Linked DNA regions of Drosophila melanogaster. The protein of the gene in region 2 interacts with the protein of the main gene of each other region in a pairwise test. Each region holds a gene or a part of one and is shown on either strand. Other genes may lie near its edges. The genes, in order: CG14767 and CG13053.

Region 1 (7,843 bases), on a different chromosome or scaffold from region 2:
TCTTATTATTAGTCATCACTTTGTATATGCATACATATATGTAATGATCGGGAATTTTTATGTAGCTTCTTTCCTCAATAAACAATAAAAAGAAAATGTAAAAATGGAATCTCTATGGAAGTCAGTTGATCAAAGAATATTCTCTTTTTTAAACTTAATAGTAGAGAACAAAGTTATTTTGTTTCTTTCCCCAATTAAAATAAATATCATCAACTCTGTTAAAGGATTAACACTATAAACTAAAAAGTCAACATTCCAACTCTATTGAAAATGAAACCAATTTCCAAATAGAATTAGGGTATCAGCTGAAATTGGAAATTATATTATAATGTTCTTTAAATTAAAATGAAGTCGCAAACACAAATTAAATATAAACTAATTTTTATTCGAATATCTTTGCATATTTAGTACACAGTATACATTTAGATATTGTACACACATAAAACTTTACTGTTGCTGGTAATATCATCATAATTAATGGATTATGACTGCCTGTGCTCTGAATTCAGTACACGGTATTCAATATGCATAGTCTTACGAGATAACTTAAAACAAAGAACATCGTAAAGGTGTCTACAATGCCAGCGACACTCTCTGGTAACAACTACTTGGGCCTACAATATCCGAACTTCTCAGGCTAGTTCGGGCCAAATGAAAAACGTTCTAACAGATTGTTGCAGCTAAAATCGGGTCAGATGCGGCCGAAAAGGAATTGATGCTTTCCTCGCCAGCATCACAATATGTTTTTGGCTTTAATGCTTTTGTTTACTAAATTAGCAGCAACTAGAGCGTCTTAGTTGTACGTTAAACAACAATAATGAGCGATGGCTAATAGCGAAAACTTGTTTGCGTTTCGTTTTTCTAAAAACAGTGTTCAATACATTGAAGCAACCATTAAGAAGGTGTATGTGTGCCTGGGAATGATAGCTGCGAAATGAGGGACCAGAAACCAGATCATCTGGGCAAGAAGAGGATGGGAGAGGGGTGGTCACCGCTGATCACAACCCACTCGCCATGAGAAGCAATCCAGTCGAAAGTACTGTTTAAGCCTGGCTTTCGTCGCGTCCGCCGAATACTTGTCCCGGGATGTTTGGCTGGCGATGCAGCGGCGATTGCGATGGCACTTGCACCTGGGCATCGGCAACGTCGTTGTAGGGCGGAGGAGGCGGAATGCCACCGATTACATCAACGCCAGCGTCAATAACCTCCAAATCGTCCGCTTCCTCGTCGACATTAGCGTTTACAGCTGCATCGCTGCGGCGCATTGGTGGCGTATTGGCATTGACATGCATAGTGTTGTTATTGTTCGGCTGATCATTGTTATTATCCATGTTGTCATCCGTGTTGGAGGCTACGTTCGCGGTAGTGGCTGCTCCAAGGGCCACGAAGAGAGGGGCCACCGAAGGATTAACCTCCGCACCTCCAACAGCTGCGTCTTCACCCTCTTCGTAGTTTGACATGGCCACCTGATAAGATGGCGGTGGTGCCTGCTTCAAGTACTGGGCAATCGCTTCATCGTAATTGGGCAACAGAGTGGAGTAAGACCGCTCTTCGGCACCAAAGGTTCCGCCAACACTGTGGACTCCAGTCGGTGGCTCCAGGAAGGGGAACAGGGTGCGAACGTGTTGCTGACGGAGCGTCAAGTACTTGTAGCAGCGCCAAACGATACCAATGCAATAGGCCTTTAGAAACACAATGCAGATGAATACGACCAGGACAACAACAACTAGCTCCTCAGGTGGTAGTTCTAGCAGCTTCTCGCGCCACGGCAAGCGATGCGACTCGGCAATGATGCTGTGAATGGCCTGCAGGTAGCACAGATATCCAGCGGCGGTGAGACTATGATAACGAACAATGCATAAGTACATTAATCTCCCTATTAAAAGAGTCCTAGAAACCTCGAAGGATTTAAGAAGGCTATTTAAGCTTTACTAAAGTAAAGTGGCGATTTAAATCTTTTGAGGTCTCTGTAACTCCACCGATTATAATCCTTACGTTGTAATAGCGAAATCAAACAATTGCAAACAGAAGAACGGCAACAGGTGGGAGGGTTTTCCCTTGATGGTTCCGTAGATCATCATCAGTGTAATGGCTATCATGCAGGTGCACACCAGTCCGCCCATATCGAAGTTCTCTGCAGCAGAAAATTGATATTTAAATGCGTTGCGGAACTTGCTCTCTCCACTGCTTACGGTAACGCTTACGATAGTTGAGGGAGTGGTCACGGTAGGCGTAGGGCGGTTCGACCTTGCTAAGGGGCGTGGGTAGGGCCGGTGCACTCAGATCCACGGTGTAGTCGTGGGTGCCACCTTCCAGTTCGTCCATCATCTCCGGATTGCGCCATATGACCGCTAGAACGCTTAGCGCCAATATGTTCAAGAACTGAAAATAAACGTAGGCGGTTTTACTTACTAAAATAATTAAACTGTTTAATTGCACATGGAGGCTTACATATATAAGTAGAAATATATATTTTACAAGTTCTACAACCAACGTGGAGACTCAACTGTTGGGCTTAGTTAAATCAGACTTCTTTGCCTGGCAACTGAAGCAAACATTGCTAGCATCTACTGGTTCCAGAGATTTCCAATAATCCCGGTGCTGGCGTTGCGTGTAATTAAGATATTCAAGGAACGCGTCGTAGGTTAAGTCCACCGTGTTCCTGCATTGCATTCGATGATGATACGGACATTTCCGGTCGTATATCCAAGTGCGTTGCACGGGTGGCTTTACGCAAGCCTTATGCAAATAGTGCTTAAAAGCCTCCCGATCTTTTCCATAAAACATCCGCGTGGTCGTGTACGCGATGCCTTCATGAATGGCTTGGCGCACAATTGGCTGCGCTACGATTCTCCCCACCCCCACAGATGTGACATCCGGTTTCTGTAAACGGATGAGCAACCACGGCGGGATTAGTCCAAAACGTATGCTGGATACAACATCCGTTACGTTTTCCTCTCTTTGAGGCCAGTGGTGGCTTAGCCACCGAGCGGCTGCCATGAAGACCTCCAGCTCCGTATTCACGCCTATCAGATCCGATTGGATGAGCAATAGCATTGATTTCAGCGGCAGTCTCAAAAACTCTTTCGATGCCACCAGCGTGAGAAAAAACTTTGAGACGCGCTCAAGATATTGCAAATGGATAACCTCAAGTTTCAGTATTTTCGCCTCAAAGTACAGCATCGCAGCGGAGTCCTCAGTGAATCCATGATCGAGGCAATACTTGCACTGCCTGACCAACTGTGGAATCTCCATAAATTTGGCAGCGTGGAAAACCTCTAGGAGACCGAGTCGCGGCAAGACTGGCGTGTCCTCGATCATCCATTCGTAGATTAGGCCAAAGGAGCGTGGCGTAATCATCTTTTCGGGCAGGGCCACGCTCAGGTCATTGCCCATATCGCGAAACATTCGCGAAAAGCTCTGTAAGACCATCAGGTGCACGGGATGACTTGTCTTTCCTATGGTGATCTCTGAATTGGTCTTTGTACGTTGCTTTACAAGGCTCACAATCTGTTGGTACAAATTGACCTTCCCTTTTAGAACCTTACTGATTTTTGATTTCTTTAAAAGCCCGGCTGTCGAGTATCCCAATGAGAATAGTGTACGCTCTTTAAGGGTGTTGAAAGCGTCAGTCTGGATTTTTAGTTCAGAAAGGGACGAGCAATTGATGGCAGTTGTATTGATGAACAAATCCCTTAGCTCATCATTCATCTCCTGTATCTCTTCTAGCTCCTCCACCGCTTCGACATCCTTATTCGCCTTAGAAGCATAGCCGCGCAGGATGACTTTATTTGAGGAAACAATGTCAATAGGACAACAAGAACTGCCTTCCGGAAATGTGTCGTCTGTGTGGGGCATTGCATTCGAATCTCGCAAATGCCTTCACCAGTTGGACAGCTTCCTCCGGATGGAATTTCATTGGAAGTAGTGGGGAATGTAGACTTTTGTGTGAGCAGAACAATATTTATAAAAATGTGAATAAGTTGTAAACGTCACAAACTAAGCAAAGATTCCCAAGGATCACGAGGGGGGACTTTAATGATAGCTCAACATTTAAAAGTATTTCGAGTGCGTTAGCAGGTGCATGGGTCCGCTCATGAAGATAAGCTGGCAAAAAAGAAGATAAGAAAGCTTCGCCTGATTTGATTTGCAGCCTGTGTGCTGATAGATGACAGCTGAATTAACAATTCTCAGATTTATGACAGCACGCTTCAGAATGTTGTTCCAGAAGAATATATCTTTCTTACCGAAAAGCAAGAGTAAGCCACCACAAGAGTAAATATTTTCGCATCACTTGTCGAGTACGTGTAGTTATTAAAAATAACTTGAACGCTCATGTTTCTGGTTGCTGTTTGCTCAGATGGCTGCCGTTGGATATCCGATTCAGTATCTAAGTATCTCAGGTTGAAGGCCTTGCAACGACCCGAGATGCGGCAACTTGCCATCTTTAGTTAAATTATTCATCAGAAATTCATCATGAAATTTAATCTGCAGTGCGCCGCAGTATATCAACAATTGTCACTCTGGGGATGAGTCAACCAAACAACAAGCAACCTTCGATTTGCGGAATTGCTTTGTTTTTAAAGCCTCTAACGCCATACATATCTACAAAATGTAAACAAAGAAACCCTTGAGATTGGACAGATTAGAAAAGATAACTCCACTGCTGTCCACACCATAATCAACCCATGTGACGGAGTTTTCTACTGGAAAACGTGACCTGATCAAAGCATAAAGAAAGTAGCGGAACAGTGTAAAATATACACGAATAGCGTAGTGAGACAAATACTATTAAGCAAGGGTTTTTGCTCAACGACTCAAATCTTTTATTGGCCGCAGATTCGCGCTCTCTTAAGGGCAGAGCATTCTCTTTCATTTTCAGAAGAGACATCAAAGGTTTCTGGGTTTCCAAAAACATTGATAACAAGACTGAAAATACTGCACTTTGCACATTTATATCCCTTTTTTTAGCCAATAAAACTAATTTCTTATGAAACTTTTGAAAATTCGACAATGCTTTACATTTCTCCAAGTGTAGCGATTGCTAATGCGAAGTCAGATCTTGTGAAAGGTTAGTTTCGGACAATGGACATGGGATGTGGAAACTTCCGCAGTGGAACCGATGGCAGAAATAAGTTGTTGTGCCAAAAAGCCCCGATGATAGTACAGTATAATTCGCTTAGCTGCATCGATAGTTAGCTGCATCGGCAAGATATCTGCATTATTTTTCCATTTTTTTGTGTGAATAGAAAATAGAAAATAGAAAAAAAAAAATTAAGTTAGCTGCATTTTTAAGTTACCTGCATCGAGGCATTGTGCAAAGTACTCGAGGCAGCTAAGCGAATTATACTGTAGTTAAATTTGATCAGATGACGCAGCAGCGGCCAATCAGCCACCAATTGACGTCACAGGCGGGGAAAGTGCAGAGTTGGCTCGTCTTCGTCTTCGCAAAGTTTTGCAGTCATTGGCTGATTGATTTTTCCCTTGCGTGACACTGAGCAGGGTCAAAGGTTTTTCGCAAATGCCGCAGGACTGCATGCGTGGGTGTATCTCGATATACACACACGCATGTATGGATTAAAGGATACCCCCCTTGATGCACTTACCAGGTGCCACAATCCGATCATCAAAGTGGCCGTGTGGACATGCAGGCCGAAGCAGCAGGTGAACTCCTTCAGGTGACGGTTTCCGGTGCTGCTGCTACTTCCGGCGGCACCATTGTTGTTGTTGCTGTGGAGCTGGTTGCGTTGGGGACCCATCTTGAGGTGGATCCTAAACATTGCACGCCCCACGAAACTGCGGCTGTGGAAAATGAATGCGAAAACGAAAGCGATAACGATAACGAGTGCAGAAAATAATCAGCAATTGTGGGTGTTTTATTCCTCCCACGGATGTGTGTTTGTGTGTGTATGTGTGTTTAGGTGTAGGTGTGTGTTGCATCTACGAGTATGTATGTATGCATTTGTATTTATGTGTGCCACTTTTTCACGACTGATGCTTTGACCTTTTGCACTACTAATTCGGCAATTGATTCACTCTCCTTTATAAGGCGTACCTTTGATTTGTGGGCCAATGCAACTTGCACTGGTTTTCAACTCCGATTTATATCTGCAGCTCTTGATGTATTCAATTTTATTTAACTGCTGCGCAGCACGAAAACCCGTGAGCACTAATCTCTGAAAGTGGTAAAATGCCGCGCAACACGGTCACACTGACATTATGCGTTTTGCAGAACGGTAACGTTTATACGAGTCATTATTCGCAAATATCATGATATTATACAATAATTTTTGAATTAGATGTCATATAAATAAACAACAAAACGAAGAGATGTAAGCTCATTTATTTCTAAATATTCATAGTTTATGTATTTTGTGTCCCCAAATGTAAATTGATATGTTTTTATTACTATTATTGAAGTTAATATTATTTTTAAAATTTACTTCGAAAGGAGCAACTCAAGATAGGTTTGTGCTTCCGCATCGTAAAGTAAATATTAATTTTAAAAAGTACGGTAAGTGTGACCGGTGCGAACGCTAAAGCGCCAATCCGCAAACATCGATAGCAGCGATGCAATCAAAATACATGCTTTGCTATCGTAGGGTGACCATAACTAAAAGATTTGGAGAGCCAACTGCAGCAAAACAGAGATAAAATTGACAGCGAACGGAATTGAAATGGCTTAAACCGCATGCCTAATCAGACTCGCGTAGAATTTTAGCCCGTGTTTATTTTATTTATTGAAACGAAGCCAGTGAACGTGGGGTGCAATTGCTGTTATATAAAAGTACGGCACTGTAACTGCAGTTTTACAGTAAGTTTCGTTTATCAGTTCCCCTTTGTGTACCTTGTTTCCTTCAGTTTTGCGTCGTTCGTTAGCGCGCTCTCTGTCGCTCTCTCTCTATCTCTTTAGTACGTATCCATCCCACCCCTTCTCTGTTATTCCCAACTACGTCACCCACCGAATTCACTTTTGTTTGCTATTTATAGCTGCGGATTAACTGCACTTCGCAGCCAGGAACATGGGGATATAAAGTGAGAAAAAGTTGATGGTCTGGTGGTCCGTTTTCCATATCGCTAATCGCGTGTTATCAGGGCCAAACAACAGGCCATCGTAAATAAGCGTTTTAAGCTGTCAATCAGCTGATTTTGCATCCATAAATAAAAGAGTGCTGCTTGTAGCCTTATCTGTAGGTTAACCACATATATTAACCTGCTTCAAACACCTTTCTCCGATTTCGGACGTCCCAAATTTTCCAGCCGCGGTGGCTCAGTCGTCTAAGGCAACTGGAATTCCCTACGAAATCAGTGCGCGAGTTCGAGTTCGAGTCTCCGCCCATGCTTGTTGGCTTCTTCCGACGATCACCCACGTTATTTAGCCGTTAACTCCTTGGGCTACATTAATTTTTTTTGTCATTTCCCTAACTTACATGTGTAAAAAAAAGAGTATCTTACATGTGTTTAGTTTATCTCAAAAGTGGAACAATCCTCCTTTAAAAATGTTTGGAGTGGGTCTTCAAAGAGAAGATCATATGCTTACGTTTTTATAAACTTAAACTTCCGGATGATACATTTCGAAAGCAAACCTTATCCCCCAAGGTGCAGTAGATAAAATCTGTCAAGCGTGAAAACTTGTTATTAAGTTTATTTTAAACATGTTTTAAAATCGTTTGGAAATGCACTTTATCTTACCACCATCGAAACAAAAGCTTCAGGCACTGCAAATGTTTCAAAAAAATTAAAAATAGTTGACTATAATAACATGTATGTTTACCCTAAACCTTCCTTTAATTTCTAAACTACGACTTTTGGAAACTCGGGTTATACTTGGAGGTCCGGCTTT
Region 2 (3,137 bases):
AGGAAATGGCTAAAACTGCCACATGCTCAACGTGCAGGTGCCGCACCTGAAACTTTAACCCATGTGTTTGCAAATCACGAGTCGTAAAGAAAGCGAAAGGATGGGGCGAAAGCCAGAGAGTGATTCCCTTAATCCCCGATGGGTTCTGCAATTATGTGCTCCTCCCAACCCAACAGGTTGCATCTGCCGGAGACTCAAGCTGCGCCTGCACGTTTTGCAAACGCATTTCGGTTATGCAGGGCCCCCTGAAGATACAACATCTATAAATAATTGATACACCGCCGAGGACATTAGCATAATCAGCGTATCGAAAATGTCGAATCTTAAAATACTCTGCATTCAAAGTGAGGAAATGTCGTCCTAATAATGTTGACATTAGCACAAAAGCTGTCAATAAACTACTCATTGTCATTTCTTAGTACTTAATTAAATTTATAAAGTTTAAAAGGTATTAAATGGACATTTTAAAACTAAGCTTGTTCAGTTGGTAGATTTAGCATTTAACTTGAGTTCTTTCCTCACTGCATGACATTTGATACCATAAATTAAGACACCCACCTAAAAATTTACTTCTGTCAGAACGAATCAAAGGGTTTTGTGACAGGAAATCGAAAATCCATAAATTCAGTCAGTGGGTCACCAGAGCCCCCGGGGATATGGCACGTACTCAAAGTCCACCGCCCACTATATATATCCTTATGCTCAATATATACATATATATAAATCAACCTGACCTGGGCAAAAAAATAAGGCTTAGCAGTGCGTGCCGAGGAAAATAGTGAAAAGACTTTTGTGTGATTTGCGCATCTATTTGCTGTGGCTTTTGGCTTTTATACGGAATCAGAGCAGGAACGACGATAGCGACAGGGCGCCGATTCCGAGATCGAGGGCACCATAGCGATTGGCATACGGATAGGGGTAGCCGTACGGACCCGGGCTGTTGTGGTAGTTGTTGTAGTAGCCACCAGCCGGGTACCGTCCTCCGTAGTAGTAGGATTCTGGCTGGGGGCCCAGGTAAGGCTGCTGGTAGCTGACACCGAAGGAGACCAGCGGCTTGGCCTTGATGCAGGTGGTGGCCACCACCAGGAGCACTGCTAACTGCAACGGTAGAAGGTGGAGAAGTTAAGTGGAGCTGATACTTGGCCAATGGAATTGGCTGCCTACCCAGAGATAATTGCGCATTTTCTGTTCAAACTGCAAACTACGCCGTCCAGTGCCGTTCTCGCTTTGAGCTCCTCCTTGCACTCCCAAAGACCTTTTATATCCAAGGTTTGGCTCCCGGGATCCAAAGCCTGTTTTTACATTGGGTAAACAACTTGACGGGGGTCCACTTCCCACAGCCCGTTCTAAATTCTGGTCACCCTTTTGCCAGCTGCACGCCGAAAAACGAGTCAAGCTTAAGGAAACTTGTGACAAGTAAATTAAACGTTGATAAACTATTTTAAACTCCTTATTATAATGAAACTAACAAAACCATGAAAAAATATGTAATTCAATTTTAAAATATTTTGACTAGACATATATCTCACTGCTTAATATATTTACCAGAACTATATATTGTTCAATCGTGTTTAAGTGTACTCATTTTGCCCAGCAATGTGAGATTGTTGTTCGCATAGATTTGCCTGCCTAGTCAAGCCTGCGATTTCTTTAGCCATTAATTGGACACTGTAACAACCTTGAACTTCCCCATGGACCGAATCAGATGCCAATGCAGATGGTGCTGATGGCGGAGCTCCTGCTCCTTTGGCAGCAACAGGTTTTCCACCGAGATTATGGGCTCTAGTAAACTGATACGGATGCCACCGTCCCGAGCCATTCCATCCAATCAGATGTATCTGCTGGTCGGAGGAGTAACTTCTAATTAGCTTTGCATAATTAACGCGAACTCAATCTGGTTTCGTAATCATCAATCATGGCTCTTGATGGCCGGCTATGTACCCTATAATTTTTAACGGACGTTGATTTATTCGCGATAAATGTATTCGAGGAATTTAACGTAAGAGTTTTTCTTAACAAAAACCCAATAAATAACTAAATATTTGTATATCTTTATTAAGCTTTTTATCAATATTCTGTTTTTTATTTATATTTATTTTTATATTATTACTTTATTAAAATATTAATGGAGTTTTTAAAATTATTTAAGGTAACTAAGCTCTGTATTATTATTATTATTATTAAGGTAAAGGATAAATTAATATTAAACAATTTAGAAATTATTAAGAATCTAGTCGAGTGATATTTGATGAGAAGTCTTAAAAGTCTTAGTCGGCTGATGCAATCATTCATATCAATGATCCATTTTATCACTTCTCTAATGGTGTTATGCAAATTAAACTAATTGTTATTTATTTATATAGGGTAACCAAGGAGATTATGCTATTTTCCAAGGACATCGAGGTGTTAATAAACCCGATTAAGAGTTCATTATTAACAATGCTAAGTATCAATGGCCATAGAGCAATCTACGCATTTGCGTATGTTCCATGGGTGGATGCCATGTGACGGCCTCGGGTCACGTTCCGGAGCGATTCCTTTCGGGATCGACGAGCCACTCGCCAAAGGGCAAAAATCGGGGGAACAGCCTGTGTGAGTCACATTGCACCTTGCGGTGGACTCTACGGCTTCTTTTTGCCACGGTGACGTTCGACGTGCGACATGAGTCTTGATTTGTTGCCACTTTTGGGATTTTATTAAATTTAGACAGGCCTCCGAGAAGCATAGGTGAACAACTGTGTGTAAGGACGGGCATTTGGGCGGGGTCATTCGATATAGCCATTGTTGTTTGGGGCTTTATAACTGAACAACAATTGGAGGCCGAGTTCAACAGACAGCGGGTGTGCTAGGTCATTTGGTTTTGGGGGAAGTAGGAAAGTTGTTTTCACAGACACCTCAACACAATGGGGGCTTATCATCTAGAGTTAAAACACCTTCGATGAGGAGCGTTCGAACTTTATTCAAATTTCACTTGCTTACAATTCACGCAAAGGTTTGTTGCTCCCCGCCCATCTAGTAGATGTACTCATAGGTCAGGGGCTTGTAGTCGCTGCGATATTGCTGCTGGAAGGAGTTCGGGGTCTCCACGCTGTGGTAAAGATGCGATTCGGCGGCTGCCGGGGCAATCAAACGGGAAT

What was found.
Region 1: the proteins of CG13053 (region 2) and CG14767 interact in a two-hybrid assay, tested with the Drosophila melanogaster proteins (one large-scale study listed by BioGRID).

What each region holds. Positions count from the first base shown.
Region 1 is NT_033778.4:8,717,651-8,725,493, forward strand, and holds CG14767 (uncharacterized protein), read right to left. Parts: upstream 6,190-7,843; 5' UTR 6,056-6,189; intron 5,848-6,055; exon of another isoform or gene 5,803-5,847; 5' UTR 5,781-5,802; coding exon 5,607-5,780; intron 3,975-5,606; exon of another isoform or gene 3,859-3,974; coding exon of another isoform or gene 2,503-3,858; exon of another isoform or gene 2,450-2,502; intron 2,383-2,449; coding exon 2,193-2,382; intron 2,135-2,192; coding exon 1,996-2,134; intron 1,840-1,995; coding exon 1,044-1,839; 3' UTR 367-1,043; downstream 1-366. Other genes in the region: CG30357 (uncharacterized protein), read right to left, coding at 2,503-3,858.
Region 2 is NT_037436.4:16,258,245-16,261,381, forward strand, and holds CG13053 (uncharacterized protein), read right to left. Parts: upstream 1,479-3,137; 5' UTR 1,183-1,478; coding exon 1,165-1,182; intron 1,099-1,164; coding exon 841-1,098; 3' UTR 793-840; downstream 1-792. Other genes in the region: CG34247 (uncharacterized protein), read right to left, coding at 3,013-3,137.